Callithrix jacchus: one gene and its partners. The protein of the gene in region 1 interacts with the protein of each later gene in a biochemical or structural test. Links are inferred from orthologs where the notes say so. Each region holds a gene or a part of one and is shown on either strand. Other genes may lie near its edges.

Evidence for each region.
Region 2: the proteins of MPDZ (region 1) and HTR2A form a complex in vitro, tested with the Homo sapiens proteins (2 studies listed by IntAct, with this or other methods). The link is inferred for Callithrix jacchus from reciprocal best matches to the Homo sapiens genes MPDZ and HTR2A.
Region 3: the proteins of MPDZ (region 1) and CYSLTR2 interact in a test that uses a peptide from one of them, tested with the Homo sapiens proteins (2 studies listed by IntAct, with this or other methods). The link is inferred for Callithrix jacchus from reciprocal best matches to the Homo sapiens genes MPDZ and CYSLTR2.
Region 4: the proteins of MPDZ (region 1) and HTR2C form a complex in vitro, tested with the Homo sapiens proteins (3 studies listed by BioGRID and IntAct, with this or other methods). The link is inferred for Callithrix jacchus from reciprocal best matches to the Homo sapiens genes MPDZ and HTR2C.

Annotation. Positions count from the first base shown.
Region 1 is NC_133502.1:119,760,053-119,767,836, reverse strand, and holds part of MPDZ (multiple PDZ domain protein), read left to right. Parts: intron 1-2,483; coding exon 2,484-2,693; intron 2,694-3,367; coding exon 3,368-3,507; intron 3,508-4,639; coding exon 4,640-4,853; intron 4,854-5,578; coding exon 5,579-5,707; intron 5,708-7,784. UniProt on the Homo sapiens protein: Member of the NMDAR signaling complex that may play a role in control of AMPAR potentiation and synaptic plasticity in excitatory synapses. Promotes clustering of HT2RC at the cell surface.
Region 2 is NC_133502.1:69,161,612-69,169,395, forward strand, and holds part of HTR2A (5-hydroxytryptamine receptor 2A), read left to right. Parts: coding exon 1-293; intron 294-3,189; coding exon 3,190-3,390; intron 3,391-7,784. UniProt on the Homo sapiens protein: G-protein coupled receptor for 5-hydroxytryptamine (serotonin).
Region 3 is NC_133502.1:67,302,767-67,311,084, reverse strand, and holds the start of CYSLTR2 (cysteinyl leukotriene receptor 2), read left to right. Parts: upstream 1-3,712; 5' UTR 3,713-3,952; intron 3,953-7,231; exon of another isoform or gene 7,232-7,359; 5' UTR 7,360-7,562; intron 7,563-8,318. UniProt on the Homo sapiens protein: Receptor for cysteinyl leukotrienes. The response is mediated via a G-protein that activates a phosphatidylinositol-calcium second messenger system.
Region 4 is NC_133524.1:110,813,570-110,821,838, forward strand, and holds the start of HTR2C (5-hydroxytryptamine receptor 2C), read left to right. Parts: upstream 1-4,056; 5' UTR 4,057-4,619; intron 4,620-8,269. UniProt on the Homo sapiens protein: G-protein coupled receptor for 5-hydroxytryptamine (serotonin).

The DNA of each region.
Region 1 (7,784 bases):
ATTGAGATGATATTTGAAGGGTTGTTCAGCAGATTGGATTAGAGTTAGGTCCTTAAAAAATAGATAAACATATTTTTCTGCCTGCGTATGTTGAACATCAACTTTGTATAAGGCATTCTTCTAGAGAATGAGGGCATAGTAAAAATAAAATAGTCAGATTTTTCTGCTGGAGGGATTTTACATTCTAGTCTGTCTCCACTGGCTAGGATGAAAGCTTCATGACAGCAGGGTATGGATCAGGTGGTAATGAATGCCATGAATTAAAATAGGACAGGGTAAGTTCATGGAGTATAATGGTGCTATCTTGGATAAGAATGCCAAGAAAGACCTTTCTGAGGTGAGACTGGGCACACCTGAATAAAATAAAGAAGTATGTGGATATTTGGGGAAGGATATAGCTGTCTGGTAGAGTGAACAGCTTGGCACTTTGAGGCACAGTGAGGCAGGGAGCACAACTGGAGCTTAGTGGGTAAGGGAAGGGATAGACTGCTAGGAGATGAGGTCAGAGAGTGACCCAAAAACATCATTGAAGTAAGCTTTCTGATATGTAATTATAGATAAAAAGTCACATTCCAGGCATCCAGCATAATTATGAAATTAGGATTGACTGCATTGCTTTATCTACTATTTAGATTTAACTTCAAACTCTTTGTAATAGGCACACACAAATAATTATAGAATCATTTCCCAGAGTGGGATGATCTTTTCTATTGTTACATGTGTCATTGTACTTAGAGCTAGCCAGACAGCATAGTTTGAGGGCACAGTCCTCCAGACTGCTAGTGCTGCCCCATACATCTGAGACCAACTGCAGTGAGTTAGGGTCCAGCTACAAAGTTAAAGGTATAGGGATACACAAAACCACCCTCACTTCTGACATCAGCTGCAAGTTTGCAAGGTTCCCCTAGCCCTAGCCACCTTGAGGTTTCATAATTCACTATAAGGTCTTAGAGAATTCTCTGAAATCTGTTATACTCATGATTATGATCTATTGTAGGGAAAGGATGCAATTAAGGGTCAGCCAAACAAAGAGATGCGTAGTGCAGATTATGGGCGGATTCCCAACTGGAAGCTTTCATTTTCCTGGGAAAGTATAACTTTGCCAGAATTCATGTGGGACAATATGTAGAGCGTACAGCCATGTGTCATTAGGTGATTGCATCCTTGTACAAACATCATAGGGTATACTTACACAAACTTAAGTGGTATAGCCTCCCACACAACTAGACTATATGGTATTGTTTCTAGGCTACCAACCTGTATAGGATGCTATATGGAGTACCTTATGTAGTTGTAGCACAATGGTAATTATCTGTGTGACTACAGAAAAAGCGCAGTAAATATATGGTTAAAAGATAAACAATGGAACACCTATATAGGACACACTTACCATGAATGGACCCTGCAGGCCTGGAAGTTATTGTAGGTGAATCAGTGAATGAGTGGTGAGTGAATGTGAAGGCCTAGGACATTACGGTGCACCACCAGATAGCCAGTGTATCTAGTATGCTATAGATAGCCAATGTAATGTTTAAGTTTTTGGTAACTTTGGTAACTTAATGAGTTTCCTGTTTTGTTTTTAAGAACAGGTAACAAACTCTTATGTATAGAGTTTATACATAACTTAATAAATACTGTACACTTAGGCTATACTACATTTACAAAAACGTTTGTTTCTTCAATAATAAATTAACCTTATTTTATTGTAACATTTTGCTTTATAAAGTTTTAATTTTTTAAAACTTTTGACTCTCATAATAGCACTTAGGTTAAAGTGCAAACACATGTAGAAATGTGTTTGACTGTGTTGCAAACCCAGGAATGTTACCTCATCTTGGTGTTCGAATTATTTTATTTTACTTTAAGTTCTGGGATACATTTGCAGAATGTGTAGGTTTGTTACATAGGTATACACGTGTCATAGTGGTTTGTTGCACCCATCAACCTGTCATCTATATTAGGTATTTCTCCTAATGCTATGCCTCCCCTAAAGAATTTTTTATTGGGGTGTTATTTCATAGGTGTGATTGATTGATTGTCCTGCCCACATGACTAAAATCTGACTCAGAGTTTGGGCTTATATCTGTGGCCCACCATGAAGAAGAAAGACACCCCATCACTCAGGAAATTCTGAGAGTTTAGAGGTTACTTCATGGGATCTGGGGACAAAAAAAAATGTTTGTGTGGATGTATATATTTATGTGTGTGTTTTAATGAGTACCCTGAAATTCAACCCTGGAGGTAATTGGTTTTTTTAATTTTCCCATCTAATAAATGGTGCTGCATTGAACATTTAGTGCTGCACACACATCTTTATTATCCTAACGTTTATCCTTGAAATAAATTTCCTAAAATAGAATTGCTGGATCAAAGGATTTGGACATTTTGAAATTTCATATGTATGTACTTATACCCTTGGGATATTTTCTATGCAATAGTTTATGGAATGTCAAAATTCTTAATAATCTCTGTATTACTCTTAGGTAAATATTTCGACTTCAGCAACTTCGAATACTGAATATGCCCACATTCCTCATCTCAGCCCAGCTGTGATTCCTACTCTGCAAAATGAATCGTTTTTATTATCCCCAAACAATGGGAATCTGGAAGCACTTACAGGATCTGGTATTCTACACATTAATGGGAAACCTGCTTGTGATGAATTTGATCAGCTTATCAAAAATATGGCCCAGGTAAGAACATTTCTTTCTGTTAGTTATTGTAATACCTGAAATAAGTTAAGAATGTGATCAAGTTGTGGATAATTTGAAGAATATAGTGATATTTATAACATCTGAAAAAATTGGAACAAAAAGGAAGTCAATTTTGTGGGAGTTTAGATGGTTCAGAGTTTTTCAATTATAGTTTCCTTATCACCATTTAAATTTGAGTATTATATGTTGTGTTATAGAAATTGTTCTTCAGGATAAAGTGCTAACAATGACCTTGGAAAAATTTTTTTTCATTTCTTTTTTTTTTTTTAACAAAGAAATGATTCTAATAAGATGACTGTTGTGCATCATTAGTTTTTAATTTAAGTTTCTTTTGAGATGTATCTTGCTCTGTCATCCACACTAGAGTTCAGTGTTGTGATCATAGCTTACTACAGCCCCAAACTCCTGGGCTTGGGATTCTCCTGCCTCAGCCTCCTGAGTACGTAGGACTATAGATGTGTACCACCACACTCAGCTGAGTTTTATTTTATTTTTTATAGAGATGGGGTCACATTATGTTGCCAGTCTGGTCTCTAACTCCTGGCTTCAAGTAATCTTCCCACCTTGGCCTCCCAAAGTGCTGGGATTACGGGCGTGAACCACCATGCATGGCCTGGCTTTTAATTTTATTTATTTCTTTGTTTTCTAAACAGGGTCGCCATGTAGAAGTTTTTGAGCTCCTCAAACCTCCATCTGGAGGCCTTGGGTTTAGTGTTGTGGGACTAAGAAGTGAAAACAGAGGAGAACTGGGAATATTTGTACAAGAGATTCAAGAGGGCAGTGTTGCACATAGGTGAGATGGTCACAGGATCTTCTTTTTGATAGCCATTCTGAAGGTTTTGGTCATTATGTGAGAATTTAGAAAAATAATAATGAATAGAAACAAACAAAAAATTGAATATAATGTTATTAACCAGTTTTTACAAGTCATTAACATTGTGATAAAAATAACAAGTCCTTTGAAGTGAGAGTAGCTTTTAAATATAGTCATAACTTGTTTTGATAAGGAAAGAAAAATTTGAGGATAACATTATTTTCATTTTTAATTAAATGAGCTCTTTTTGATTAGATTTTAAAAATTACTATACTAGAAATGATCCATAATAAATTGAGCTGCATATTATTTATATACCAAAAGCAACAATTTATTACAGTTGTCCCTCATTATCCATGGGGAATTGGTTCCAGGACTCCTGCAGGTACTAATAGCTGCAGATGCTCAAGTCCTTTATATAAAATGGTGTAGTATTTGTACGTAACCTGTGCATATCCTCCTGTATATTTCAAATCGTCTTTATATAACTTATAATGCCTAACACAATGTAAATCCTATGTAAATATTAATAGTCATACTGTATTTAAAAATTTTGTATGATTTTTTATTATTGTGTTATTTTTTCTGATTATATTTGATCCCCAGTTGGTTGAATTTATGGATGTGGAAACCATGGATATAGAGGACCAACTCTCTATGTATATCCACTTTCATTTTTAGAAGATAGGAATATCCAAGATGTAATGTAGGTTGAATGGGTGGCTGAAATAAAGAATGCTTTTATATGGAAGGGGCTGAGTAGGAGTAGCAGTGGAATAACCTTACAAGAATTGCTGACCTGCAGCCAAAGCATATTATTTTAAAGTAGAACTGCAGGAAAAAGATTAAAAAATGTGAGAATTGATGGGGAGAAATGCCAGATACAGGTATTGGGGAGGAAGGCAGCAAATCACACTGCCATGTGTGTACCTATGCAACAATCTTGTTCTTCACATGTACCCCAAAACCTAAAATGCAATAAAGAAAAAAGAAAAAAAAAGTGTGAGAATTAAAAACAGGATTAAAAATGACTTGAACATGCATGTCCAAGAAGCTGTCATTTCCTTGAGAACTCTCAGATGTCTTTTATTCTCCTTTTCATTCTTGATAGAGATGGAAGATTGAAAGAAACTGATCAAATTCTTGCTATCAATGGACAGGCTCTTGATCAGACGATTACACATCAGCAGGCTATCAGCATCCTGCAGAAAGCCAAAGATACTGTCCAACTAGTTATTGCCAGAGGCTCATTGCCTCAGCTTATCAGCCCCATAGTTTCCCGTTCCCCATCTGCAGCCAGCACAATTTCAGCTCACTCTAATCCGGTGAGTACCTACAATTTTCAAAAGGAACAGAACATATTTTTCGAGTTCTTTTTGGTTATCTCCAAGTTTCTAATTTGTGTAGGTTCTTTGCATTTCTTGAGTTTTTGTGTAACTATTCTTTCATCTTTCCTTAGCCTGGAATATTTGCCTTTACGTATGATAAAGCTTCTAGGTTCTAAAACAACCATTACTTTTCTTTGTGTAGTTTTTTCTTTGATAGCATTCCTTAAAAATGAAAAATGTAGTCTTTTAACAAAATTGACTTTATCTGTAGACAGGTACAATCTTGATTTTGCTTTAAAAATTATACAATTATATTGTTACAGTTAGCTGTCAGTGACTTTAAGAAGTCATCTAATTTGGCATCCTGCCTCAAGGCAGGTTTATGCGAAGACATTCTTAACATGTGACCTTCCTTTTTCCTTGATCTTTTTCTTTTTTTTTGAGAAGTTCTACAGACGATCTTGCAAATCAGTGTCTGTCTTTAACTGGTGAAATGAAATCATTATGATGATACATTGATAATTTCAAGAATGGTTCTATCCATAGCATTACATTCTGTTGAAAGGCAAGTATACCAAATGAAAGGGACATTGTTAGGGCTCATTTTTATGTCTGAATTTAATTATTTAATATTAACCAAATAATAATCACAAAAATTTCTACTGTAATATAAAAAGTTCTTTGCAAATTTCTACAAATTCATATATGAGCTTTGTTTGTAGGTTCACTGGCAACATGTGGAAACTATTGAATTGGTGAATGATGGATCTGGTTTGGGATTTGGCATCATAGGAGGAAAAGCAACTGGTGTGATAGTAAAAACCATTCTGCCTGGAGGAGTAGCTGATCAGGTAGGCTACACAATAGATCTTTTATGCTAGTTTATCAAATAATATGGCCACATCTTTCACATTTTTTGTTAGAGAGAAAAAACTATGGCCTTAGATAATGCCAAAGAAACTGAGTTAGAATCTTTCATTTTATTGAGTATCCCTGAAGTGTTGTCTTAGACCTGGGGGAGGAATACTTTAGAAAAGGTATTAAGTTATAGTTTTAAACAATGGGCTTTAACACTTTTGAACCTCAGACTAAAGCCAGGGTTATGGATTTGATAATTGTGGATGTAGCTACTATTATTATTTATTACATTTTAGGTTTTGGGGTACATGTGCAGAACATGCAAGATAGTTGCATAGGTACACATGTGGCAGTGTGATTTGCTGTCTTCCTCCCCTTCACTCACATTTGGCATTTCTCCCCATGCTATCCCTCCCTAGCTCCCCACTGCTGTCCCTCCCCTATTCCCCCAAATAGACCCCAGTGTGTAGTGCTCCCCTCCCTGTGTCCATGTGTTCTCATTGTTCATCACCCACCTGTGAGTGAGAACATGCTGTATTTCATTTTCTCTTCTTGTGTCAGTTTGCTGAGAATGATGTTCTCCAGATTCATCCATGTCCCTACAAAGGACACGGACTCATCATTTTTGATTGCTGCATAATATTCCATGGTATATATGTGCCACAATTTCCCTGTCCAGTCTATCATCGATGGGGATTTGGGTTGGTTCCAGGTCTTTGCTATTGTAAACAGTGCTGCAATGAACATTTGTGTGCATGTGTCCTTATAGTAGAACGATTTATAGTCCTTTGGATATATACCCAGTAATGGGATTGCTGGGTCAAATGGAATTTCTATTTCTAGGTCCTTGAGGAATCACCACACTGTCTTCCACAATTGTTGAACTAATACACTCCCACCAGCAGTATAAAAGTGTTCCTTTTTCTCCACGTCCTCTCCAGCATCTGTTGTCTCCAGATTTTTTGATGATCGCCTTTCTAACTGGCGTGAGATGGTATCTCAATGTAGTTTTGATTTGAATTTCTCTAATGACCAGTGATGATGAGCATTTTTTCATATGTTTGTTGGCCTCATATATGTCTTCTTTCGTAAAGTGTCTGTTCATATCCTTTGCCCATTTTTGAATGGGCTTGTTAGTTTTTTTCTTGTAAATCTGTATGAGTTCTTGTAAATTCTGGATATCAGCCCTTTGTCAGATGGGTCAACTGCAAAAATTTTTTCCCATTCTGTTGGTTGCCGATTCACTCTAGTGACTGTTTCTTTTGCCGTGCAGAAGCTGTGGAGTTTGATTAGGTCCCATTTGTCTATTTTGGCTTTTGTTGCCAATGCTTTTGGTGTTTTGTTCATGAAGTCCTTGCCTACTCCTATGTCCTCAATGGTTTTACCTAGATTTTCTTCTAGGGTTTTTATGGTGCCAGGTCTTATGTTTAAATCTTTAATCCATCTGGAGTTAATTTTAGTGTAAGGTGTCAGGAAGGGGTCCAGTTTCTGCTTTCTGCACATGGCTAGCCAGTTTTCCCAACACCATTTATTAAACAGGGAATCCTTGCCCCATTGCTTGTTTTTCTCAGGTTTATCAAAGATTGTATGGTTGTAGATATGCTGTGTTGCCTCCAATGCCTCTGTTCTGTTCCATTGGTCTACATCTCTGTTTTGGTACCAGTACCATGCTGTTTTGATTACTGTAGCCTTGTAGTATAGTTTGAAGTCCAGTAGTGTGATGCCTCCTGCTGTGTTCTTTTTGCTTGGAATTGACTTTGCTATGTGGGCTCTCTTTTGGTTCCATATGAAGTTCATGGTGGTTTTTTCCAGTTCTGTGAAGAAAGTCAATGGTAGCTTGATGGGGATAGCATTGAGTCTGTAAATTACTTTGGGCAGTATAGCCATTTTCACGATATTGATTCTTTCTAATCACGAACATGGAATGTTTCTCCCTCTGTTTGTGTCCTCCCTTATTTCGTTGAGCAGTGGTTTGCAGTTTTCCTTGAAGAGGTCCCTTACGTTCCTTGTTGATTATATTTCTAGGTATTTTATTCTCTTTGAAGCAATTGTGAATGGCAGTTTGTTCTT
Region 2 (7,784 bases), about 51 Mb from region 1:
TGTTGCATTTAACTGGACAGTCGACTCTGAAAATCGAACCAACCTTTCCTGTGAAGGGTGCCTCTCACCATCCTGTCTCTCCTTACTTCATCTCCAGGAAAAAAACTGGTCTGCTTTATTGACAGCTGTAGTGATTATTCTAACCATTGCTGGAAACATACTCGTCATCATGGCAGTGTCCCTAGAGAAAAAGCTGCAGAATGCCACCAACTATTTCCTGATGTCACTTGCCATAGCTGATATGCTGCTGGGTTTCCTTGTCATGCCCGTGTCCATGTTAACCATCCTGTATGGTGAGTGGCGTTAGTTTCCCAGCTGTACCCACGCTGGTAATAAAGAGCATGTGCATGCCATCAGCAGATGAGATGGGGCCCAGGGGTCAAACTCTAAATAGAAGGCTTTGTTTATAGACTAGGGTCTACCACGTTACTTCTATTTTCCTCTTAAAATGAGATTTCACATAAAAATCCGACAGCCTATTACCTGTGATCACTGGAGAGTTTTGTGCTTTAAAACATGTACATTTCATGTAGAAGTTTTTATAAATTGCCCCGATACAGTCATAAAGCAGTAACTTACCCGTCATTCTGAATCTACTTGATTTTTGCCCCTTTATATATCCCAACCAATATTCCAGCCTTCAGGACAGAACAGTTTTTTATCTTTGTCACACAGTTTCCAGCACTGCTAATGGAGTGGTAAAGCCTTCCCAATTACCTTGGAACATTTGCAGGGAGAACATTAGTGGTGCAGTAGGTTTTATGTTAAAATATGCAGAGTCTCCATTAGAATAAATGAATTACTCCAGTTTTAATTGTTCCCTGCCCAGAGAAGCTAATTTGGAAATGTGCCTTTGAATTATATCCTCAACTCTTTAAAAATGCATATGCATAAACTCCTCCAGTCTGGTTTGGAGGAGGGTGGGAAGCGAATGGGAAGAGATTAATCTTGCTTTCTTCTCAACAGAGTTTGAAACAGTCAAACCTCCCAGCAAGGGAGCAGAATGTGACCTTCTTTCCAAATTATGAGTAATACAGCCAGACATCTCCTTAAAAGAGAAGGAGACTATTGGGACTGGTGAAACAGGTGCAAGCAGCAGTTACCCAGGTCTCAGAGACAGGTTACGATAGCTATCTTTCAGGGAAAACTTTTTGGCCAAGTCTTAGGGCTAAGATTAAAAATCATCAAGCCAGCCCTGGAGAGTGTAAGGAAGGAAGGCGGTATGCAAGGGCGAGCAGGTACCAGTATGCACAAGGCTGCTAATGCTCAGTCCAAGTCCAGCCTCGCTTGACCATTTAAATGCCACACCAGAATGATTTCATTAAATTCGCCTGTTCTTTCCTGGGCGTCCCGGGAAGGTTCTTGCTTCCTAAACCTCCTCCCCTAGGGGGCAAACTCCAGTGGGGGTGGGAGGAGTGACAGAGCAGGAACCTAAACAGCGGCTGGAGGGTGGGATGACCCGCGGCGCCATCCGCTCGGGGAGCAAGGACGCCCCCTGGCGGTGGCCGCTCAGCGTGCAGCCTGTTCCCTCCGGAGCCCCGCCCCTCCCTGGGCTACTACTTCCACCACCCCCAGCCCACGGGGCGTGGGGCATGGGGCGTGGGACTTCTCCCACAAGGAAATGCCCTCTCCTTATCCTGCCGCGGACATACAGACTGAGGCCTGGGCCCACTCCTTGTATAGAAAACCCCTCTGGGGGCCAACATCTGTTCCGAATAGACAGAGCTTGGCTTCCCCCATCAGGCGCTGCAAAGAAAAGGCTTTCGTTAGTTCAAGCGCTTTGCAAATAATTCAAGTGAACGGTTGTAAATTAGACTTGTACCTATGCTCTTTACTTGTCTAAATATCCCTCGCGGCATTTTGGTAGAGAGTATACGTTTGGTTGGAGAGTTTGTTCGGCTTTATGTGTCTGTAACAAGAAAAGTAGACTTTAAAATTTTCCTTCTCACATGCAGACAGATCACAGTATAAGCAACTTCGCTGCTTATACTGTGACCAAAACTAATTAAGGTTTACATAACTGCTTGATCCCCCTCCAAAACACAAAACCAGGACACTTTGCTTATGTCCATAAGGCAGTCCAATCCTCCTAATGTAGCAGGTGACCTGCACTGTCTCTTACACTGGAATTGTCTGGGGAGCTTTGCAAACGCTTTGACATTTCATGTCTACCTCAGTCACACACGCCCACCTCCAGACATGATTTAATTGGGCTGGGTTTGGCATGGGCATCAGGACCTTCTCTAAAGCTCTCCGGGTGATTCTGATGTGTAGCCAGGGGTGAGAGCCACCGTCCTAAAGCAGCGGTTCGCAAAGCGCTGTCTCTGGACGTGCAGCATCAGCATCACCCGGGAGCTTGCTAATTCAAATGCAAATTCTACAGTCTGCTCCAGACGAACTGCATCCGAGCCTCTGGAGGGAGGTCCAGCAATGCGTGTTTTAAGAGGTGTGGGAGAGTCTGATGCTCACTGAAGTTTGAGAAATGCCTCCCTAAAACAAAGCTCAGAGCAAGGACACCTTCCCTTATTTTTCTTCACCCTTGTCTTCAGCTCTCCCACAGATACCCCAAATTTGAGTTTGGCACCCAAAGCCTTATTAGGTCATTATTTTTCATTTTTACAAATAGACATATTCACAATCTGAATTTTTAATCATTTAGTCACTTGCACCAATGCAATTCATTGCCATCACTGATGGGACTGGATGGCAAAATGTCCATAAGCATCACTGCATGGGACTGGATGGTTATAATGGCCAAGAGGTGAGACCGACCTTAGGGAAATACAATCCAGGTAAATGTGTGAATAAATCCTGACAGTATGGCATGAGAGGTGCTACAGAAGAGGAGCCAAAACACGTCACAACTTTTGACGTAAGTCACTTTAAAAAAAATGTTTTGCCAGGTGTAAGGGGGAAGAAAGAGAACCTTCAAAGAGAGAGAATCCGATTTACCACGCCACACTCCCATAATTCCAGACACTAGAAATGTCCAAAGCCTGTATTCATCAGCCAGTGCTCACATATCATAATTAAGTACAGTTGTTAGTGGCTTTTTTCAAATACGAAAAATATACTGTGTTGCTCTTTGCTACCACCTGTGCCTGTCCCAGAACTGGAAATTGTCATAGGGTAGGGATCCACATGCCCTAGGAGGCATAAGTTTGCTGACACCAACTTTCTGCCTCATAGGATACCGGTGGCCTCTGCCCAGCAAGCTTTGCGCAGTCTGGATTTACCTGGATGTGCTCTTCTCCACGGCCTCCATCATGCACCTCTGCGCCATCTCACTGGACCGCTACGTTGCCATCCAGAATCCCATCCACCACAGCCGCTTCAACTCCAGAACGAAGGCATTTCTGAAAATCATTGCTGTCTGGACTATCTCAGTAGGTAAGTGGGAACATATTTCAGAGTCTCATTCAAAATGACAGTTCGTGATTTCTGAAAAGACTTGTTCCATTTTGTTGTACTGAAACCTGACATCCTCAATCTACTGTTTTGGGTGGTGCAAGATATGATACAACATCATAATTATCAAATTTCGCCTCAGAAAAGAAAATTCTGTTTATATCACTGGTTGACAGCATGAATTTGTATTGCTTTGCACAGGCAAGACTATAAACAGCAGAGCCAAATCAGAAATAATTGTGCTGTTTTCCCCGTTTCTCACTTTCAAGTCCACAACTCTAATTCTTGGGTTTCCCAAAGACCTCAACTTTTATAATCACTGGACTTATGGTCAATGAAAGGATGCAGACCACTCCAATAGAGAAAGAAAGCCTCTGAGCTCTAAAGAAAGGTACTATGTGCTGCAGCATGGAGGGAAAAGCCGAGGCCAGAGGAAAGTGCCAGAATCTGCTTAGGGGCAAGGCTGCTTTTCAGTCCACCCTAGTGCCTTTATAGACCATCCTCCTTTGATGATACCACACACCAAAGGATTTCATCTTGCTTCTGTTAGATTATATACATTCATCTCTTACCAGTACTGATCTTGTGACTTCATATACCCAACATCAGAAAAGCGAAGGTAATGAAAGCTAAGGGGGCAGCTCCCAGGCAGTGGAGTCAATTGTACCTGTCAACCTCGCCAGCTTGGTTGGTAACGAAAGAGTCTCTAGATTCAGTGGAATAACAGTACTAATAATAAGAGCAAACACAACAATATAGCATCTTGTATTTTTTAGCTCCCATTGCTTACTTTGCCACTAGCAATGGGAACTAATATGCAATTTGGAGAGTAGTCAGCTCCATCTTACAGATGAGGAAACTGGGATTCAAAAAGCAAAATGAGCTGTGCAAAGCCCCACAGCCAGTAAGTAGCACAGTGAGGATTTTGTTGAATCCTGATGGGAACATCTGATAGAAACACTAACAAATCACACTTGTGTCACTTTCAAATGTTTAAAGTCTTACCTACTTTCTATTTTAAACTTCCCATTGCCGTTTGAGGTAGAAGATTCTATGATGCTTATTTGATTAGCTAGGGAACCAGACTGCAGAAGTATTGCAGCTTACGGGGTCATACCTTCAGCTTGCAGCAGGACTAGGACTCTAAACTTCTAGCACAAAGCCCCGTTCTTTCTGTACCTTCCTTAGGAAACAATTTTTGCTCCAAGAAAATGCTTGCAGTTTCTGGGACTGTGCAAGTTGGACTCATTCTACTAGGAGCCAGAGAGTAAAGGGCCAGTAACCACTCAATCCCTATTACACATAAAATGCCCCAGGGGAGCATTCTGATTTAATTGCCCAGGGCGGGGCCAGGTGATTCTAAGGAGCAGTCAGAGTTGAAGACCACTGAGACAGGTTTTCAGGGTGGTCAGTGTGATAGGTAGAAGAATCAACAATAATGCAAAGGAAGCAAATGAAGCTATTTATTTTCACCCTGATACCCTGTCCTTAGTTTTACTCTAATGTACTGTGCCATTGGTGAGACATGCTGGGAAGATCACCCATCCTTTACCCTCAGCTACACTGACTCCCCATCTCATTCAAGTTTCATGATAGCAACAGTAGTAAGGACAAACAGTTTCTGAGCACTGAGTACAGACCCAGTAGTATACAAAGCACCTTAAAGAAAATGAGCTGCAGAGAACTCAGTTGCACAGGACGATATTACTTATAATCAGGAGTCATTATGGATTAATCTGAGTCCAAAGCCCATGCTCTTTCCACTACTCAAAAGATAATCTGCCTCTGGCTCTTTCTGGCTATCACCACAGGAGGCAAGCAGGCTGGAATGGTTGAGGTGGTCCTGGGCAGGGGTCATCATTCATTGGCCAATCTTTTAATGTGCATCTACTATGTGCTTGGCACTGGATAGACCAAGATGAAAAAGATATGCATTCAAAGATCTCTCACAGTGAGATAGGAGAAGACAAATAAGGAAACAAAAGAGAAAAAAAAACTTACATCAAATCTATGCTAGAAATCTCTGAGGTGTGTGCCCTGAGGAGGTGACAAGTGGAAAATGTAAAAAGGAAAAAGGCAGATCTAATGAAGGACCTTGAGCACAAATATTCTCTTGAGTTTTCTTCTAGTGTTTCTGTTTTGATTATTTTGTTGCTTCAGGTTTAGTTTGCTTTGTGTGTTGTTTCTTTTAATTTGGATCTTTAGTGTAGCTGGAATTTTAAAATATGATCTAACTTGTTTTCCTCTAGTAGTGACTAAAGCCTTTTCAGACACTATTGATATTTTTTCTTCAAGTTATCGGTATGTTCACTCTTGATAAATTTCTAAATACTGGCTTGCATTCCTGGTATGTTGAGTTCAGATGACAAAGTTGGTTGGTTTATGATTCTTACAATATTTCCTTTTCTAGCTTTAAGTGATAGAGAAGTATTACACTTTGTCTTGAAGTATTTAAGCAGAAATTATATATTTTTGAGAGGTTCTGTAGAACTTGGTTCCAAATCTCTCTCATCCTGGTTCCTTTTTAGATAGTATTTTAAGTTACATCTCTAACTTCAATAGTTATTTCATTTACATTTTCTACCTCTTCTTGGGCTATTAGCTGCATACAAAATTTCTCTTTTATATTATTCTTTTATCATTAAATGTCCCACTTTAGTGATGCTTCCTGGCTTAAAATCTACTTGACTTTTTTTGATTGTCATTTTTGGATGTATCTTATTTTATCCAATTTAAAATCAAACCTTTCGTGACTTTAAATATAAAGTGTTAGCCTATAAGCAGCATATAAATTTTTGTTTTTAATTTAATCTTTGTCTGTTAGTTGGAGTATTTAGTCTTTTTACATATAATGTTAACTCATATTTGGGTTTAAAACCATTTGCTTTCCATTTTCCTGTTTGTTCTATATTCTAGTTTCCTTTCATTCTTGCCTTCTTTTGGACTAATCAAGAATTGTCCATTCATCATTCCTCTTTATGAGCTTGTTATCCATTGTTTCAAACTATTTTAGTGATTATCACACTCCACTTAGACTCTAAAACATATTGTTACTTGTAACATTTTTTGGATAATGCAAAAACTTTAGAACTTTTTAACTCCAACTACCCCTGTTGTCTTGTGGGTTTTTTCCCCATTTGCTGTCTGTCTGTTTTAAGCCCATAAGACATTACGGCCATTCTGTTCACTATTTCTCACATATTAGCCCTCTGTTGCTATTCATTGCTTTCTTCATTTTCATGGTTTTGCCTGGATTCCTCATTCCTAAAGAAGTTCCTTTAGAATATCATGTAGTTTTTTCTGTTTTTCTTATTCTAGGCATCTTTATCTTGCTTTCATTTCAAGCACATTTTTGCTCAGTATAGAATTCTAGGCTGACAGTCATCTTTTTTTTCCAGCACTTTCTAGGTAGTAAATTCAACATTTCAAGCTTATATTTTGTTCTTATTTGCAAGAACCCAGCTGTCAGTCTTATTGTTGTTCCTTCAGAACCATCACCTTTTGCCACACCCTGCTGCTTCAGAATGTTTTGTCTCTATTTCAGCAACTTTACCATGATATACTTTGTTGTGAATTAGTTTTGTTTTTATCCTGCATGGTGTATGTACTGATTCTTAAACCTGTGACTTTGGCCACTTTGAGAAAACTCTTGGCCATGATCTTTTCAAATATTGCTTCTGCCCCCATTCTCTCTCTTCTTCATATCTGGGTCTTCAGTTTCATGTATGCTAAATTTTTTACCCAAGTTCTTTATAACTCAAACACTTCTACATGGTTTTTTTTCAACTTTTAAGTTCAGGGGTACATGCGCAGGATGTGCAGGTTTGTTACCAAGGTAAACACGTGACACTGTGGTTTGCTGAACAGAGCAGGTATTAAACCCAGCATCCGTTAGCTGTCTTCCTGATGCTCTCCTTCCCCATACCCACCACAGCAGGCCCCAGTGTGTGTTGACATCTGCCATGTGTCCATGTGTTCTCATCATTCAGCTCCCACATATTAGTGAGAACATGCAATGTCAAACACTTCTACATTTTCTATGTTTTTCTCCTCTTCTTTTCGTTTAGATAGCTTTACTGACTTTTCTTCCATTATTTGTCCTCTCATCAGCTATTTCTAATCTGCTGCAGTACCCATCTCTTGTGTTCCTTAGTCCCTACACTTTTAATTCTAGATTTTTTCATTTAATTTTTTATAGATTCCAGGTTTTTAGAATAATTCTACATGTTTTCATCTATTTTCTTAAATATTAATCACAAGGATCTGGATATCTCTTTTCTGGGTTGTGGGATTACCTAGGGATTTCTCTTTTCTGAATTGTGGTTTTTTTCTCTCCCCATTCTGTCCATTGGTACGCCTGGTAATTTTTTTGAAAT
Region 3 (8,318 bases), about 52 Mb from region 1:
TGTGTATGCATGTGTGTGTAGGGGGATGCCAGGGAGGTTGGGGAGAGGGTGTCATGTGACCCACACACTGCACAGTGCTCTGGCTACTTCCTCCTGCAACTCTGATTTGACTGGAGTGGACATTAATGCCCAGTCCAGCCTCATCTCCTCTCCAGAGAGCTGACACTGCTTGGGAAGCTGAATTGTTCTTTTTGAAGGGAGAATTACATTTGAGAGATTGAAAATTCAAACAAAGTAAAAAGAATGCAAGGTCACTATGAATTAGTTAAGACTACTGCATGTGTTATGGCAAATGTATCACTTTCTCCCTGAATTTTAGGTTCCCTTGATTGGAGAAGGTAGATATGGATGAGTTCCCTAGGGCTGCCATAACAAAGAACTACAAACTTAATGGCTTAAATTAAAGCAACAGAAATCTATTCTCTCACAGTTCTGTAGGGCGGAAATCAGAAATCAAGATGCTAGCAGGGCTACGCTCTCTCTGGAGGCTCTAGGGGTCCTTCATTGCTTCACCAGTTCTAGAGGCTCCAGGTGTTCCTTGGCTTGCAGCTCTAATCACTTCACATGGCCTTCTCCCCTATGTGAGTTTGTTGACACTCCTTTGTCATCTCTCTTACAAGGATACATGTGATTGCATTTTGGGCCCACCTAAAAACACAAAATAAACTCCTTTCCTCAAGATCCTTAATTAACTGCCATTTGTGCCACATAAGATCACATTTACAGAATCCAGGATTTGAATATGGGCATGTCTTTGGTGCCAATGTCTAGCCCACTATACTAGGTAATTCTTTTCTCTGTCTTATCACGGAACAGGCCCTCCTGCACATAAAGTTGGTGGCTTTCTAAATTCCATGAGTTTTCAAATTTTGTTTCCATTCTTCCTCTTTCTTAATGACCTAAATAGAAATATGATTCACGTTGACTTTTTCCTTTGTATTTAATCTTGCACTATGAAAACAAACTTCTGTCTCTGATGCCCTACCAACTTATTAGTGTTTCTGATCTTTTAAAAATCACAGGTGTGTGTTTACAAGAACATACCCTCTAGACTTAAGCTTATGTCTCTAAAAGCCTTGTGGCTGGTACATTAGGGTAATCAGCAAGAAACTAGTCCTGTTTCTCTTCAACTCACTTTGTCAACTGAGAACAAACTTGGAGATCTCCTACAAAACTGGAGTTGATGCTCATCTCTTGATTACTTCTACAGGCCTTTGAGAGTTCCAGAGAAGTTCTCTGTGTGCTCTATACATTAAACATACTGCCATGTTTTCCTTTAAATCATCAAGAGCAGCACATTGGATAATGTGTTTATTCCTTTCTCTGCTCCTTAGGATTATTTTCCTTTTAAAGTCATAGACCCTTCCCCATCTACTCTAAAAGAATGATTTCATGTTCCCTCCTGACACTTCTGGTTAAAATGACACTGCATCTCCTTATATCATCTGTCCAAATTGTACAAAGAAAGAGTGTCTACTGGGCACTCTTCAGCAAAGTTACTGCCTATAAAGTGCTTAGAGATCCCAGGCTGTCCTAAAAAATAAAAGAAAGTCTTGAATAGGTTTCTCCTTTCTCTGAGGTTTACAGATTCAGAAGCAGGGGGTGGGGAGAAAGCATTTCCCTCATTATCTTTCGAATATTCTTGAAGCATATTCTGCTCCCTGAAAACCCGATATTCAAAAGTTAGCTCTGGGAGTAGGATTGATTTTTTTCACTTTGTTTATTCTAAATTTTTCAATTAATTAATTTTCTTTTTCTGAGGCAGTCTTGCTCTGACACCTAGGCTGGAGTGCAATGGTGTGATCCCAGCTCACTGCAGCCACAACCTCTCCATCTCAAGCAATCCTCACACTTCAGCTTCCTGAGTAGTAGAGACTATAGACACATGCCACCATGCCCGGCTAATGTTTTTTTTTTTTTTTTTTTTAAGAGATGGGGTCTTACTGTGTTGCTCAGGCTGCTCTCAAACTCTGGGACTCAAGAGATTTTCCTGCCTCAGCTTCCCAAAGTGCTGGGGTTATAGCAGTGAGCCACTGCATCCAGCCCACTTTATTTATTTTAATGAGATGAACATTAGTCAATTAATTAAGTTTTTTTTATACAGTCTCACTCAGTTGCCCAGGCTGGAGTGCAGTGGCGCAATCTTGGCTCACTGCAACCTCCACCTTCTGGGTTCAAGTGATTCTCCTGCCTCAGCCTCCCAAGTAGCTGGGACTACAGGCATGCACCACCACGCCCAGCTAATTTTTGTATTTTAAGTAGATATGGAGTTTTACCATATTGGCCAGGTGGGTTTCAATCTCCTGACCTCATGATTTGCCTATCTTGGCCTCTCAAAGTGCTGGAATTACAGGTGTGAGCCACTGTGCCAGCCAATTGGGCTTTTATTGGAGGAGAATGAATATCTATGGTGATTGCTTGTAGAATTAAATGTTGTTTCAAGCTTTTTGCCCCCTAAAGATGAGAATGATAATATAATATGTGTAGACTGTGAGTTCCGTGAGTTCTAATTGAGATAAATAAAATATTAGAAATAGGATCCCAGGCCCAGGAAGAACCTTGTCTTCAGAGGAGCAACCTTGGTCCCAGCCCCTCTCCACAGCTGCATGAAGAAGCTGCACAGAAAACCCTCACCCTCACCCCCAGTTCTGGAGTGTGAAGGTAAGATCTACATCGTCCTGGTGATAGTCATTGTTGGAGAACTCTGGGACATGCAGGAAATAGATCCAGGGCCTCTTCCTTTTTATTGACACAGCAGCAGCAGTTTGGAGCTTTCCAGGAAGACCTACTTTTTATTTCCCCCAAGTTTCAATATTTGGGGCACTTGTGGGAACTAGAGATGGGGTGAGGTTTGGCTCTTGGCACTAGGCTAGAGTTGGGCTTGAAAGGGATGGGGAAGGGCGCTAGAATCAGTGGTCTTCAGAGTTGAAGGAGATCTTGGGTGAGGGGATAGCAAGAACCAGGGCCTGTCTTTCCCATGGCCATGGGGCAGCAGAAGGCACAAGGAGAACAGCGTATGTAGGGCTGTGTTGGAGATGGTTAGGGAGCTCTCCAGACCCTGCTCTGGGTTCCAGGCCTGGTGTGACAGTGACTAGCTGTGTGCCATGACCACGCTGCTCAACAAGTCTGTGCCTCTGTTTCTTCATGGGTGTCATGAAGGGACTGGACTCCCTGTTTGTTTAGGTCTGTTCAGTTCCAGCGAACGAACTACAAACAAGCAAAAAAACCAAGCCTGCCTTGTTTATTTTCAAGAAAGCATTTGCTAATTTCTTTCCAATACAGCCAGTTCCCTTATTTACCATTTTGTGCTCCTCTCAGGCCCCAAAATAGTGCTTTTTATTTTTAGAGATAAGCAAATAGTTCAGTTTGACTGGAGCATGGGAAGAAAGTGGGAAAGCAACTGATAGGAATAGAACTTGAAAGGAAATCTGGGGTTGGACTATGAAGGCCAAATTACTCCTAGACGTGGGCATAAGAACACATTGTCCTGGTGCCATTCTTTGACCAGAGAGAACTAGCCCCTTGGGACAGAAAAGGGCTGAATGAGGACCAGACACAGATTAGAGCTCTCCCTGATCCTCATCCAACCCCTTTCTTGACCCGAGGGGGCTGGGAGTCTGTGGGGCTAAGGGACACTTCCTTGTTTGTACTGTGCTCTGGATACTTGGGAAGTCCCCAGCCAAATGTCCTCAAATGCTATGAGCTGTTCCCTAGTTGCATCAGAGCATAAAGTTTGTATAGCCCTACGTCCTACAGGTGGCCAAGAGCAGCTGCTTTCAGGCATTGGGGACAAGGACATGAGGGCTAGAATTCCCCATGCCTAAGTGTGGAGCTCCTCATACGTGGGAGGGAGCTGGGAGTGGGAAGAGGACGAGGACAGCTGCAGGCTTTACCAGCTCTTCTGAGGTGGCCACATTCCAGCCCAGACCTCAAACACAAAGGAGTCTGAGAAGTGAGTACAAATGTATAGTATGGGGATCTGACAATTTAGAAATGAATATTTAATGCTACAAAAAAGTAGTGATGGTGGGCAGGGCATGGTGGCTCAGGCCTATAATCCTAGCACTTTGGAAGGGTGAGGTGGGCAGATTAAAAGGTCACGAGTTTGAGACCAGCCTGGCCAATATGGTGAAACCCCGTCTCTACTAAAAATACAAAAATTAGCTGGGCATGGTGGCGCGTGCCTGTAGTCCCCGCTACTCAGGAGGCTGAGGCAGGAGAACTGCTGGAACCCAGGAGGTGGAGGTTGCCGTGAGCTGAGATCGTGCCACTGCACTCCAGCCTGGGCAACAGAGCAAGACTCCATCTCGGGGGAAAAAAAAAAAAGAGTAGTGCTAGTGATAAGCTCTACAAAACAGACTACAGCAGAGTTAGGGGGAGTATATGTGTGGATAACTATTTTAGAAAGGGAGGCCAGTGAAGTCTTGTGGGAGGTAGTGGCCCTTAAGTAGAGAGTTAAGTGGAGTGAGGAAGACAGGGCAAAGGCATCTCAGCACAGGGACTTGGACCAGCAGCAGGGAAGGCCATGTGGCTAGGGTCATACATGCATAAGAAGGGCCAATCAGGTTGGGCTTTTGCAGATCATGGTAAAGATTTTTATTTTGAATAATGTGTGTGCTCCTTTTTACCAGCCATGAATGCTATCCATTTGTTTATGTGATTAACTCATCAAAGTTTATAAAAGTTATTTATTACTCTTTAAGGAAGAGAGGTGTTTATTTTGAGAATCGTGGGAAGTCACTGCAGGGTTTTTAAGCAAGGGAATGAACGATATGACCTGCTCTTTAAAAGCATCACTGTAGCGCAGTAGAGCAGTGAGAGTAGAAACAGGAAAGCAATTAGGGTGTTACTGTAGCGTTCTTTTTCCTTTTTCTTTTCTTTTGAGACAGAGTCTCACCCTGTCCCCCAGGCTAAAATGCAGTGGCACGATCTCGACTCATTGCGACCTCTGCCTCCCGGGTCTAGCAATTCTCCTGCCTCAGCCTCCCAAGTAGCTGTTATTACAGGCACCTGCCACCTTGCCCATCTAATTTTTGTATTTTTAGTAGAGATGAGATTTCACCATCTTGGTCAGCCTGGTCTCAAACTCCTGACCTCAGGTGATCCACGGACCTCAGCCTCCCAAAGTACTGGGATTACAGGCTGTGCCTGGCCCTCTTTTTCTTTTTTTTTTTTTTTGCTTTTAATATTGATGTCAGTATTTCTTTTTTTTTTTTTTTAATTTTTATTTATTTATTTATTTATTTTTTTTTAGGGAAAAAGAGAAAAAGAAGGGGAAAAAAAGAAAAAGAGGGAAAAAGGAATATTACTTCATTCCTAAAATGGGTTTCAATAATGGCCGATCAATATTTTGAGTGTTTAAAGTGGTTAATGCATATTTTATGTGTTTAAAATGGAGACCTCTGTTGTGTTTATTTGTTCTGGTTCTGAGTTCAAGTCCTGGATATCTTATCAATTTGTTGTCTCGTTGAATCTAAATCTCATTATGTGTCTTATGTATCTGGGTGTTAAGATCTCTTATTGTTGTATTAATCCTTTTACCCTTGCATCCTTGTAGCTTTGAAATCTATTTTATTAAGTGTGAGAATTGCAACTCCTGCTTTTTATTTATTTATTTTTGCTCTCCATTTGGTTGGTGAGCTTTTTTCCATCCCCTTGTTTTGAGTCTTTGTATATCTTTAGATATATCGTTAGATTTTGTGGATAATGAATATTTTGTGTGTTTAAAATGGAGAGCCCTATTGAGTTTATTTGTTCTGGATCTTAGTTCCAGTCCCGGATATCGTTATCAATTTTCTGTCTCGTTGAATCTAAATCTCATTATGGGTCTTATGTATCTGGGTGTTAAGATCTCTTATTATTACATTAATCCTTTTATCCTTGTATCCTTGTAGCTTTGAAATCTATTTTGTCAAATGTGAAAATTGCAACTCCTGCTTATTTATTTATTTTTGCTCTCCATTTGGTTGGTACGTTTTTTTTTTTTCCAACCCTTTATTTTGAGTCTATGTATATCTTTGGATATACCGTTAGATTTTGTCTGTATCTTTTGATTGGGAGGTTTGGTCGATTTAAATTTAGGGTTGCTGCCGTTTGATATTAACTGGCTATTTTGTCCTTTCATTGATAAAAATTCTTCTTTATGTTAATGCTCTTTACTTTTTGGTGTATTTTTAGAAAGGGTCATACTGGTTGTTCCTTTCTGTGTATAGTGCTTCTTTTAGAAGTTCTTGTAAAGCAGGCCTGGTGGTAATAAAATCTCTGAGTACTTGCTTGTTCCTAAAAATTTTTATTTTTCCTTCAAATGTAAAGCTTAAATTGGCAGGATATGAAATTCTGGGCTGAAAGTTCTGTTGATTAAGTATATTGAATATTGGCCCCCACTCTCTTCTAGCTTGTAGGGTTTCCGTTGAGAGATCTGCTGTAAGCCTAATAGGCTTACCTTTATGGGTAACTTGATCTTTCTCTCTGGCTGCCCTTAATATTTTCTCCTTCGTTTCGATCTTGGTGAATCTGACGATTATGTGCCTTGGGGTTGGTCTTCTTGAGGAATATCTTTGTGGTGTTCTCTGTATTGCCTGGGGTTGAATAGTGTCCTGCTTTGCTAAATTAGGAAAATTTTCCTGGATAATGTCCTGGAGAGTATTTTCCAGCTTGAATTCATTCTCTCCGTCACATTCAGGTACACCAATCAAGCGTATATTAGGTCTTTTCACATAGTCCCATATTGCTTGGAGACTTTGCTCATTCCTTTTTATCCTTTTTTCTCTATTCTTGTCTTGTTGTGTTGTTTCATTAAGTTGATCTTCGACCTCTGATACCCTTTCTTCTGCTTGATCCATTCGGCTGTTTAAGCTTGTACATGTTTCACTAAGTTCTCGTGTTGTATTTTTCAACTCCATAAGTTCATTTGTATTCCTCTCTATATTGTCTATTCTTTTCAACATTTCATCTAATCTTTTTTCCAAGTTTTTAGTTTCTTTACATTGGGTTAGAACAAGTTCCTTTAACTCCCAGAAGTTTCTTATCATCCACCTTTTAAAGCCTACTTCAGATATTGGAACACAATCCTTTTCCATCAGGGCTTGTTCCGTTACTGATGAGTCCTTTTCCATCAGGGCTTATTCTGCTGCTGATGAGTCCTTTTCCATCAGGGCTTGTTCTGTTGCTGATGGGTTCTGATTTTGAGTATACTCGGCCTTCTTAGGCTGTTTTTTTCCCTTCATTGTAGATGAACCGCCTTTCTAATTAGTTTTCTGAGTCGACGTCCGACTTATTGATTCCCAGTGTTGGGATCCGAGCAACCCACTGTGGCAGCCTAAATAGCAGCGGTAAGACTGATGGTGCTCTTCTGCCCAGGAATCTCTGGTCTGGCTTCCTTCTTGAGTCCGCAACAAGCGGCTCTGACTTCCCAGAGCTCCAAACTCCGGTCAGTAGGGGAAGCAGTCCCGTTGGCTCTGCATGAAGAGCTGCTGCGCCGAGACGCCGGCAAAACCACTGCGGCGGCCACAAGAGTCGTGCTAGCGACCCGTGGGGCTCCTCCACTGGGAATCGGCTGATCGGTGAGTGACGAAAATTTGTCTAAAAGTGTGGCGTCGTCTCGTTCTCTGGGCTTTCACTGGGAGCTACAATCCTGAGCTGTTAGTGGTCGGCCATCTTGGATTGATCTCCCGGCCCTCTTTTTCTTAAGACTTTTAGTTAATTTTTGAAAACTATTTATCTCTAAAAATTGGGGTAAAATATATATGACATAAATGTTACCATTTTAACTGTTTTTTTTTTAAAGTGTACAGTTCAGTGGCATGAAATACATTTACAGTATTTTACAACCATCACCAACATCCATCTCCAGAACTTGTTTCATCTTACAAAACAGTTTTCTTTAAACACCACCTCACTATTTCCCTCTGCTAAAAGATAAACTGCAGCACACTAAGATTTTAAAGACTTTATTGGCGCAGACAGCAATTTATTAATTGGGTAGTGCCAAGGAGTCAAGATGAAGCCTTTTATGGGGTGAATGCAGAAGCAAGCTGAAGAATATTTGATTGGTTAAAGAGCAGTGTGGGGGAGTATTGGCAATATTAAGTCTTCCAATCCATGAATATAGGATGTCTCTCTATTTATTCATGTATTCTTTGTTTTGTTTCATTTGTATATCTTTAATTTCTTTCAGCAATGTTTTGTGCTTTTCAGCATACAGTCTTTCACTTTCTTAGGTGAATTTCTAAGTTTATCTTTAAAGATATTTTTAATTTAAAAAAATTATAACTTTTAATTGGCCAGTAATAATTGCACATATTTATGGGGTACAGTGT
Region 4 (8,269 bases), on another chromosome or scaffold:
ATCTTTGTAATCCTAAACTGGAAAAATGAAATGCATACCCATAATACAAAATGCATTCATCATAACACTAATGTGCTCCAAGACAACATATATTTTGACATACAGAACTGATGTCAAAGTAGCTCTTAGCTCTTTCTCCTCCTTTTTGAGGTTAGGAGATTCCATCCCCAATCCCTATTCAAACTTGCATACATGTTGTTATTATTTTCAAACATATACTTGATTACTAAAAACCACACAAAATATGTATTTGATTACTAGAAGAATGTAAGAAAATTAATTAAATAAGATTTTTTTAATAAAAGAAATAAGCACGGTTTTTTAATTGTGATATACCTTTTTTCCCCTTAGAAGTGGCAGAAATATGTGACGGGGCCTTCCAACTCCCCCCCGGAAAAGGCTTCCAGTATTTTTCTCTTTCCTTCAATGAGAGTGTCAGAGAAACAGTGTTGATTGTTGTTTTTCTCTAAAACAGAGGATCTTTCCAAACAGAAGTTGCACTTACAGAAAGACTGACATGATCAGAGACTGCCCCCTGCCTTCCTACACAGAACAGAGTTTTACTGCATATTTTTTATTAAATATAATCCTACCAACTTTAAAAAGACTTTGGGTATAACAAGCTATCTATGTCTAAGATCTTTTTCTCAGTCTATGACCATGTTTGAGGAACAGTAGGGGAAAAATCTGTTGTGTTAGACGCCATGAAAGTTTATTTCTAGGTATGGCATGCCTGGATGATGAACATTATGAATCAGATGCCAGGCTTTTACGATTAAGTAGTAGTAATAGCAAATGCTGAAAATATAATTTGACACAATTGTATTACTACCAAAAACATATCTGGCTATATAATTTGCTTTAAAACTGGAAAAATATGAGTAGAAGGATTATCAGAATTCCTTGCATTTATGTCCTGTGATAAACAAGAAGAAAAAAAAACCCGGTAGCTTTTTTGATCTATGAAAATACCTGCCTTCGAGAATTTTGCTAGAATCTGGTTACTCGTTTTTTAAACTTGTCTATCATCCTTTAGGTGTGTTAAAATAGGGCTCTCTGGTCAAGAGGGGAAATAATAATGAGTAGAGAAGTAAACTTTCTAGTCAGTTACAATGACTTATTTTTTTTAAAGTTCCCGAAGTTTCAAACGATGTGGAACTTTTTCCCTACGTAGTAACAATCTTCTTTAATTCTTTCCTGAATTTCTAAACCAGTAGTTTTGGAAGCATATGTATTTGTGGTAGGAGGAAAACCCTCTGGTTCGAAAGTTGTAAAAACAGGTCCACATCCTTAGAAACCTGAGAATATTTGGAAACTGTGTTCCGGAGGGCATTGGGGATTTTCCTCAAACCCGAGGAATTCACTGTAAATAACTCCTCTTTCCAGGGACAATTTCCAAACACCTGAGGAAGGGAAGGGAAAGCAGTGAAAACGCTGCGCTGACTCCCCCCGGCCTCCTTAGGCAGGAGTTCCAGAAAACCTCTCTGGCAACTACAGAGTGACAGAAAGCGCCAGCATGTGCTTGTTTTGAGTTTGCTTCCCCAGTCTTAAAGTGCGCTCAAAATTTCTCCTCACGCTGTATTCTCCGACCTAGTGTTGCCAGAATCTCCAAACTCTGTCGGATCTTGGAGCGCTCGGCCAAGCCGCAGCCTAGAGAACCTGTAGAGGCAGTACGCGCCGCAAATGCCAAGAAAGCGGAGCCTTCGGTCCTGGCCGAACCCGGTACCCGCAGCCTCGCCGCGTACCGCTTCGGCTCAGTCTTACAGACTCCGGGCCGCTCGGCGAGCGCCGCTCAAAGGCGAACTTGCCTGCCTGTTTCTACCCGAACTCCGAAGCCCAGGCAAGCTTTCAGCAAGCCGCGTGGCTAGCTAATTTTCTCACTGCTGCTCCGGGAGCCTTCCCAACCACCAAGTGGGCTTCACCCCTGTCTCTCTCGGCATTTTTGCCTTTGACGAGAAGGAGAGAACAGCCTTAAGAGCAGAGTGTGAGTGTATACACACACACACATATATATAATAAAAACTATTATTACTATTATCTTCATCCTCATAATTGCTATTATCATGGTCCATTTCTCCAAGCCGGTTCCCCCCGGGAGCTGGGAAGCGAGAACAGTTTTTGGTGGATGCTATCTTGCACTCTTTGCTCGGCAGATTTTGCCTTAGCAAACATATCACAGGGATTTGTATTTACATTTTTTGAAGTAATATACATGTCTCAGCCTCTGACAAAATAAATACAAGTCCCGCCAGGAAAGGCAAAACTAAGCACTCCACATTCATAGAGAAAGGGGACACTTGGGGAGTTTTTAAAGATGAGTGCTTAATTATTTAAAGAGAAGACATACGTTTTCTCTTCGATATTTATAAATTACTGTTCGCTACCAAAGCATTTCTAAAGATGAGAGCGTTGTGCAGTCGGTGGACTTGGCAGCGCTGTAGCCGCCACCTGTGCGGCATCATATAGTAGCATTCAACAGATGCTTCAGGAAAACTGCGATGGGTTTTTGCTCTGCGAAACAGAACTTGGGTGTGGACAGTATGTTCAATGTCAAATTAAATTTCAGAGCCTGAATTCAGTGGCGATGGAGGGAATCAGGATTCCCAAAATGCCCCTTTTGGAATAGACCGGACAGTTCCTATCACAAATCTGGAAACGGAGACACAGAGAGAACTAACTGGTCCTAGGGCATCCAGAATAAGGAAGAGGGCCTGACCCTTATCATTGCTCCTACCTACTTCTCCATACCTAACTTTTGGAGCTATTGAGACAAACTTTAGCCTTCAGAACGGCCGGCCGCTCCCACCCCTTTTGCATTCTGCGGGATTAGGACCTCCAAGCCTCCGCAAGGTTTCCCTGCAGCCTCATCTACACAATCGCTGCGCTGCCGTCCGGTCATAAACAGCCAAACTGGAGTCTCTACCTTTTGCTTCGGTCCAGCTACCTCTGACTGGCGAGGAGCCAATCTCTACTTTTCTACACCCTGGTCCTCGGTACCCGGCCGCGGAAACCTTGGCCGTCACCCGGGACCACCACCCCCGCTCGCCCCTTCGTTCCCCCTTAGGAGAGATCTGCTTCTGTCCCCACTCTCAGTGGGATCATCTCCATTACTAAGCTTGGTTTTGGTGCCTCTGAGGCGTCTTGGCCAAGGCAGCCCCGTTCACCTTTCTGCGCTGCCGCTAGGACACGGACACCGCAGGCACCTGCCCGGCGGCGCCTGGGAGCCTTTGAAAAAGAGCTCTGCCTGCCCCGTTGCACTCGGCATCCCAGCAGTTGCCAGAAGAGAGCCTTGTGGCTCAACTCTTGCTACGTTAACTTTGCACTGACAGCCCCCCTCCTCCCTCGCCCTGCAACTGCTGGGCAACCGACTGGCTGTGGGCCCAAGTCCCTGTGCCAGAGAGATAGGTTCAGCCCCTTGGAAACCCGTAAGGGCTGCCCTCAAGGTGTCTTTCTAACGAGGCTTGTAGGGTCTAGAAAGGAACTAAACTGTGCCTTCCTGGGGGTCGAAGGCCAAGATCTTTCCTTTCCCCTTTGGGAATAGAAGAAAGATGAGGAGGCAAGGATGGGGAAGTGGGCCTTATGGCAGGGTTGTGGCCTTTGTGCACTCACCAAATGTTGACCCTGTGAGTGCCTCAGTTGCTACTATTGGAGAAATGGACAAGAGTCGGAACAGAGACCCTTGAAAGGAGTTTCAAAGCTCGGTGAAATTTGCAAGACTTGGAAATACTGTTTGTTGAAATGAAATGTACAGGGTGTGTGTGTGTGTTTGAGGAGGAGTATGCTGTGAATCTTTGAGGGTACCTTCCCTCTCCCTCCATCAGGTGCCATAGCTGATCTTTGTTGCCCCCCACTCTCCAGGCCTAGTGAATTAAGTTAATCATCACCCCCACCCCCACCACGGGGTCTCCCGCCCTCTGCTAGCAGGCTCCAGATGCACTAACAGTCCGGTCCAAACAGGCCCGGGGGCAACGTAATGCTGATCGCTGATTGGCTTCTTTTGGCTCCTCCCCTCATCCCGCGTTTGGCTCAAGAGCGCGGTGCAGATTCACCCGCGCTAGGCAGGCGGTCTGGTGCTCGCTGAGGACGCTTCCTTCCTCAGATGCACCGATTCTGCCTTTGGAGCCGCTGAATTGCTAGCCTTGGCTGCTCCATTGGCCTGCCTTTCCCCTTACCTGCTGATTGCTTATGAACTTTTCTTCTCTCTGTCTGTGCTTCGTTGTCGTCGGAGTCGTCGAGATCGTCGTGGCGCTCGTGTGATGGTCTTCGTCCGTTTAGAGTAGTGTAGTTAGTTAGGGGCCAACGAAGAAGAAAGAAGAAGCGATTAGTGCAGAGATGCTGGAGGTGGTCAGTTACTAAGCTAGAGTAAGATAGTGGAGAGAGAAAAGCCAAACCTAGCCGGGGGGCGCACGGTCGCCTAAAGGAGGTCGACTCGCCGGCGCTTCCCATTGCGCCGAGCTCCCTCCGTTCCTCTCCCTCCGCCGAGGCGTGAGGTTGCGGCGCGCAGCGCAGCGCAGCGCACCGACTGCCGCGGGCTCCGCTGGGCGATTGCAGCCGAGTCCGTTTCTCGTCTAGCTGCCGCCGCGGCGACCGCTGCTTCATCTTCCTCCCGGACGCTAGTGGTAAGTTGGAGCCCTGGGCGGCATTGCTAGCCTAGACCCTAACGATTTGTGGGGGGATGGGGTGGGGAGCGGGGACAGGTCCCGGATGGCTGCAGCCTGCAGGACTGCACTGGCCCTAGTGGAGGTTGTGGGGAGGGACTCTGAACGCGCAAATCGCGTGGAGACTGAGTCTCTGGAAGAAGAGGGGCGATTAGGTTCCAAGGAAGGAGCACTGAAGTCTCGAAGGGGATTGGGAGCGGGGGCTCCAGATGAAGGCGCTGGGCGGAGGCGGGGGTCTAGAAAACCTGGCGCGTGGGAAGCCGAGACTGAAACGGAAGGCGGGGGTGGGGTGTCAGAAGTGAGGAGGGGGAGGAGAGAAAGGAGGGAAACTGAACACAATGTCGCTGAGTAGAGGGTCGGGCTGCGGAAGGTGCAACTGAGTTGGAGGACCGACTACGATGTTAAGAAATCCTACTGCAGGGAAGTGGGAGGGGGCTCAAGGTTTGGGACGGTGCGGATAGAGGGGGAACTAAGGATCCTTTATTATGTTCTCGTTGAAAACCGACCCTGATTTTTCGGAGGGTCTCAGAGAACATCCGTAACTCTGGGGAGATACACACTGCGGATCTGAGTCTCGTTCTAATAACAGCTGTTAGCTGAATTTGAACAGCGCTGCTGATGGTCACCTAAGCTTAAGAGGAGAGGATAAGGGCATCCAGTGAACCTTTTATTATTATTATTAGCTTATCTAAGTCATTTGGTTACAGTTCTATATTTTGAAAAGGATTGCGGAAAAGTCTGCAGCGCTGCCTCTTACTCCTGTCCCTTTACTCAGTTTAACCTGACAAGCATTCTTTACAGGGTACCTCGGAATTGCTAAACATGAGAACAGGTTGCCGTTCCTGATGTCACATAAAGTTCGTCATTGCAAAACGTGTCTGTGTGTCTGTTTCTTTTCTGCGCCATGCCCTTTGCCTTTTGCTTCCTGTTGGGTAGCATGTGACCTAAGGTGACAGACATTTGCATTGTGTTTGAGAACCCTGTATTTTAAGCGACAGCGTTCTTCGACTCAAAATTCAGATAGGGACATTCGGCAGTTAAAAGATACCTAATTTTGTCGGGAATCACTGCTAGTATCGCACAGCTTCTTCATTAATATTTCCCAGTACATGTCCCATCCAAGGAGGCTTCTGATTGCTGAGCCACTAAGTGCATATGCCCCTTACCACATACCTTTTAGGCAGGCTAACCAAGGGACGCTCGTATACAGTTGAGCTAAGATGATGGGTGGGGGGAGATGTGGGGAGAGAAAATGTTGCGCAGTGAGTAACCTCTGAGCTCCCCAGTTTGCAGGCAATTGCGACCTCATACACACAGTAATGATAAAAGATATCTGGGTTCTACAGTTTAATTTTTTCATGAAGAAGTTTACATGCTTATCAGCCATTCTGACAAGCAAAATATGAGTGCAATAGAAACAAGGTGTTACTGTGTAGTTGGCTACATATGTGTAGACAAATCAAAAGGCCAACTGACATGTCCCACAGAAAATGATATATACCGCAATCATTGCATCTCTTCTGCACTACTTATGTCATACTGAATATTGTCTTTTCTGAAGAGTATTATTTCCTTAGCACCTGGTTGTTTTGGAATAATCTACAATCACCCTCCACCCATTCCACCCCACAGGTGGGGGGAAATAAATAATTTTGTCCATATTTTGGGGAGGCAGGTTATAGAATATTTAATTATAGTTTTCATTCCCTAAATAAATTCTTCTGATCCTCTTGGGGAGGGAAGAAAGTATTTGTTTCATAAACATGATTTCTTTCCTAATGGCATCTATCATCTACAGCAAGCCCAACGCAAGTCCTGAAATTCGGAAGGTGGATAAGGTTTGTGATTGCAATGTCGTCAAGGTAGGATTTGGGATGCTTTAGCAACAATAACAGTGTTTTTCTATCTGCATTATCTAGAGAGGGTTATTAACCCTTTCTATGCTTTCTTGAGGGGTTTATCTCCATCTAGAGGTGGCATGGATGACATTGATGACTTTTTCAGATAATGTGGCTTTTGTGCAATATGAATTCATCATAAGTGAGGTGAGAACTGATATTTCTGAGAACCTTCTGGATGCCGTACGTGGATCCAGGACTATTACATATGTATATTACATCATATAGTCTTCATAGCAAGTCTATGAATGACGAAGATATTCTTATCCTCCATTTTTTTGGTGCCATTAGATTTTTCCCCTCAATTTCTCAAGGTATTCTCAAAAATTAATTTAAGGCAAGAGAATAAGAAATATTTATTTATGTTTCCAAGGCTACTTGGGAAGAGCGTGTTTATTTCTGTAGCAATAAAAGTAAAATCTGAAAAGCCTAACCTTCTAATGGATTAGCCCAACATTATAATTGAGTAAACTTCAGTAATTTTACTGTTCCATGTATTTCCTTCAAGGGAATGTCATCCCTCTCCAGCTAAGGGAAACACAAAAATTAAAACAAAATTTGGAGGAGAGATTATCAGTAACCAACATTAAATATCCCTCAGCTGTTCTTATTAAGTTGTTCAAGGTTTGAGACTGAAGGAGGCTGCAGTTTGCTGAGCCCACTGGGAGATAATTAATTCCCAGGTTCTAATGGCTCCTGAAGCTCCAGACGATTTGGCCAGTATTATTAAAGAGCATCTTACCACCTCACTTTCATAGCAATGTAATATCTCACAAAAGCACAATGTATGTGCACTGAGATTATTTTAGTAAAGCATCTGATACGGCTTAGTGTTGTCTAGTGGAAGAACTGCTAAATTATGTCACTCTAGCTGCCTGGGTAGCCATAAGCAAACTAGGAAAACTTCATCATAAATTAAAGTTAATAATATATTATTGTGATATTTAATGTCAATATCATATATAACCCCACGTGATTGTTGTGAAACAGATGGGTATTAAGCACTTTGAAAATTTTAAATTGTTGCACTAAGCAATAATTTATATTATTTATATTAATATTATATATTAATAATATTATTTATTTGTTAGCATTCTAGGCTACCTATGTTATTTTACCTACATATTGTACTGTTGAACCTCAAAAAGAAATCACCAGTCAACAGCCTAATGTGTGTTCAAGTCATGGATCTCTCCAACACTGCCATTCTTCAAGACATTTTAAGAAGGTTTTTTCATATACTGAAAACATTGCTGCAAAACAGTCTAGTCATCTCCATTCTAGACAAATAACATTGAAACCAACCAAGTGGTTAAGTTGCATCATCATTTGGCAAGTCACTAGCAGATTTAATACTAATGCTCACCTACAACAACTCTTTGCCAATCACTTCTGACATTTTAATGCACAAATGACAGAGCGAAGGCAGGATTTCAAATAAGATGTACGTAAGATGGAATTTTAATTCTGTTTTTGTCTCCTTCTACCCGGCATCTCTACTTCAACCTTGATATTTATTCCTCCTCTCAGCTGTGGCTAAGACTGTGCCATCTGCTGTTTCCTAAAATACTTGCTTATCACAGCATTGTACATATAGCTGGCATTTGATACAGTCAACCTTGTTAACTATAGTTAACCTTATTCATAGATGACCACTTACATGGTCTAATTTGAGAGACACTAGAAAGGAATTCTCTATATGCCTGGTCCCTC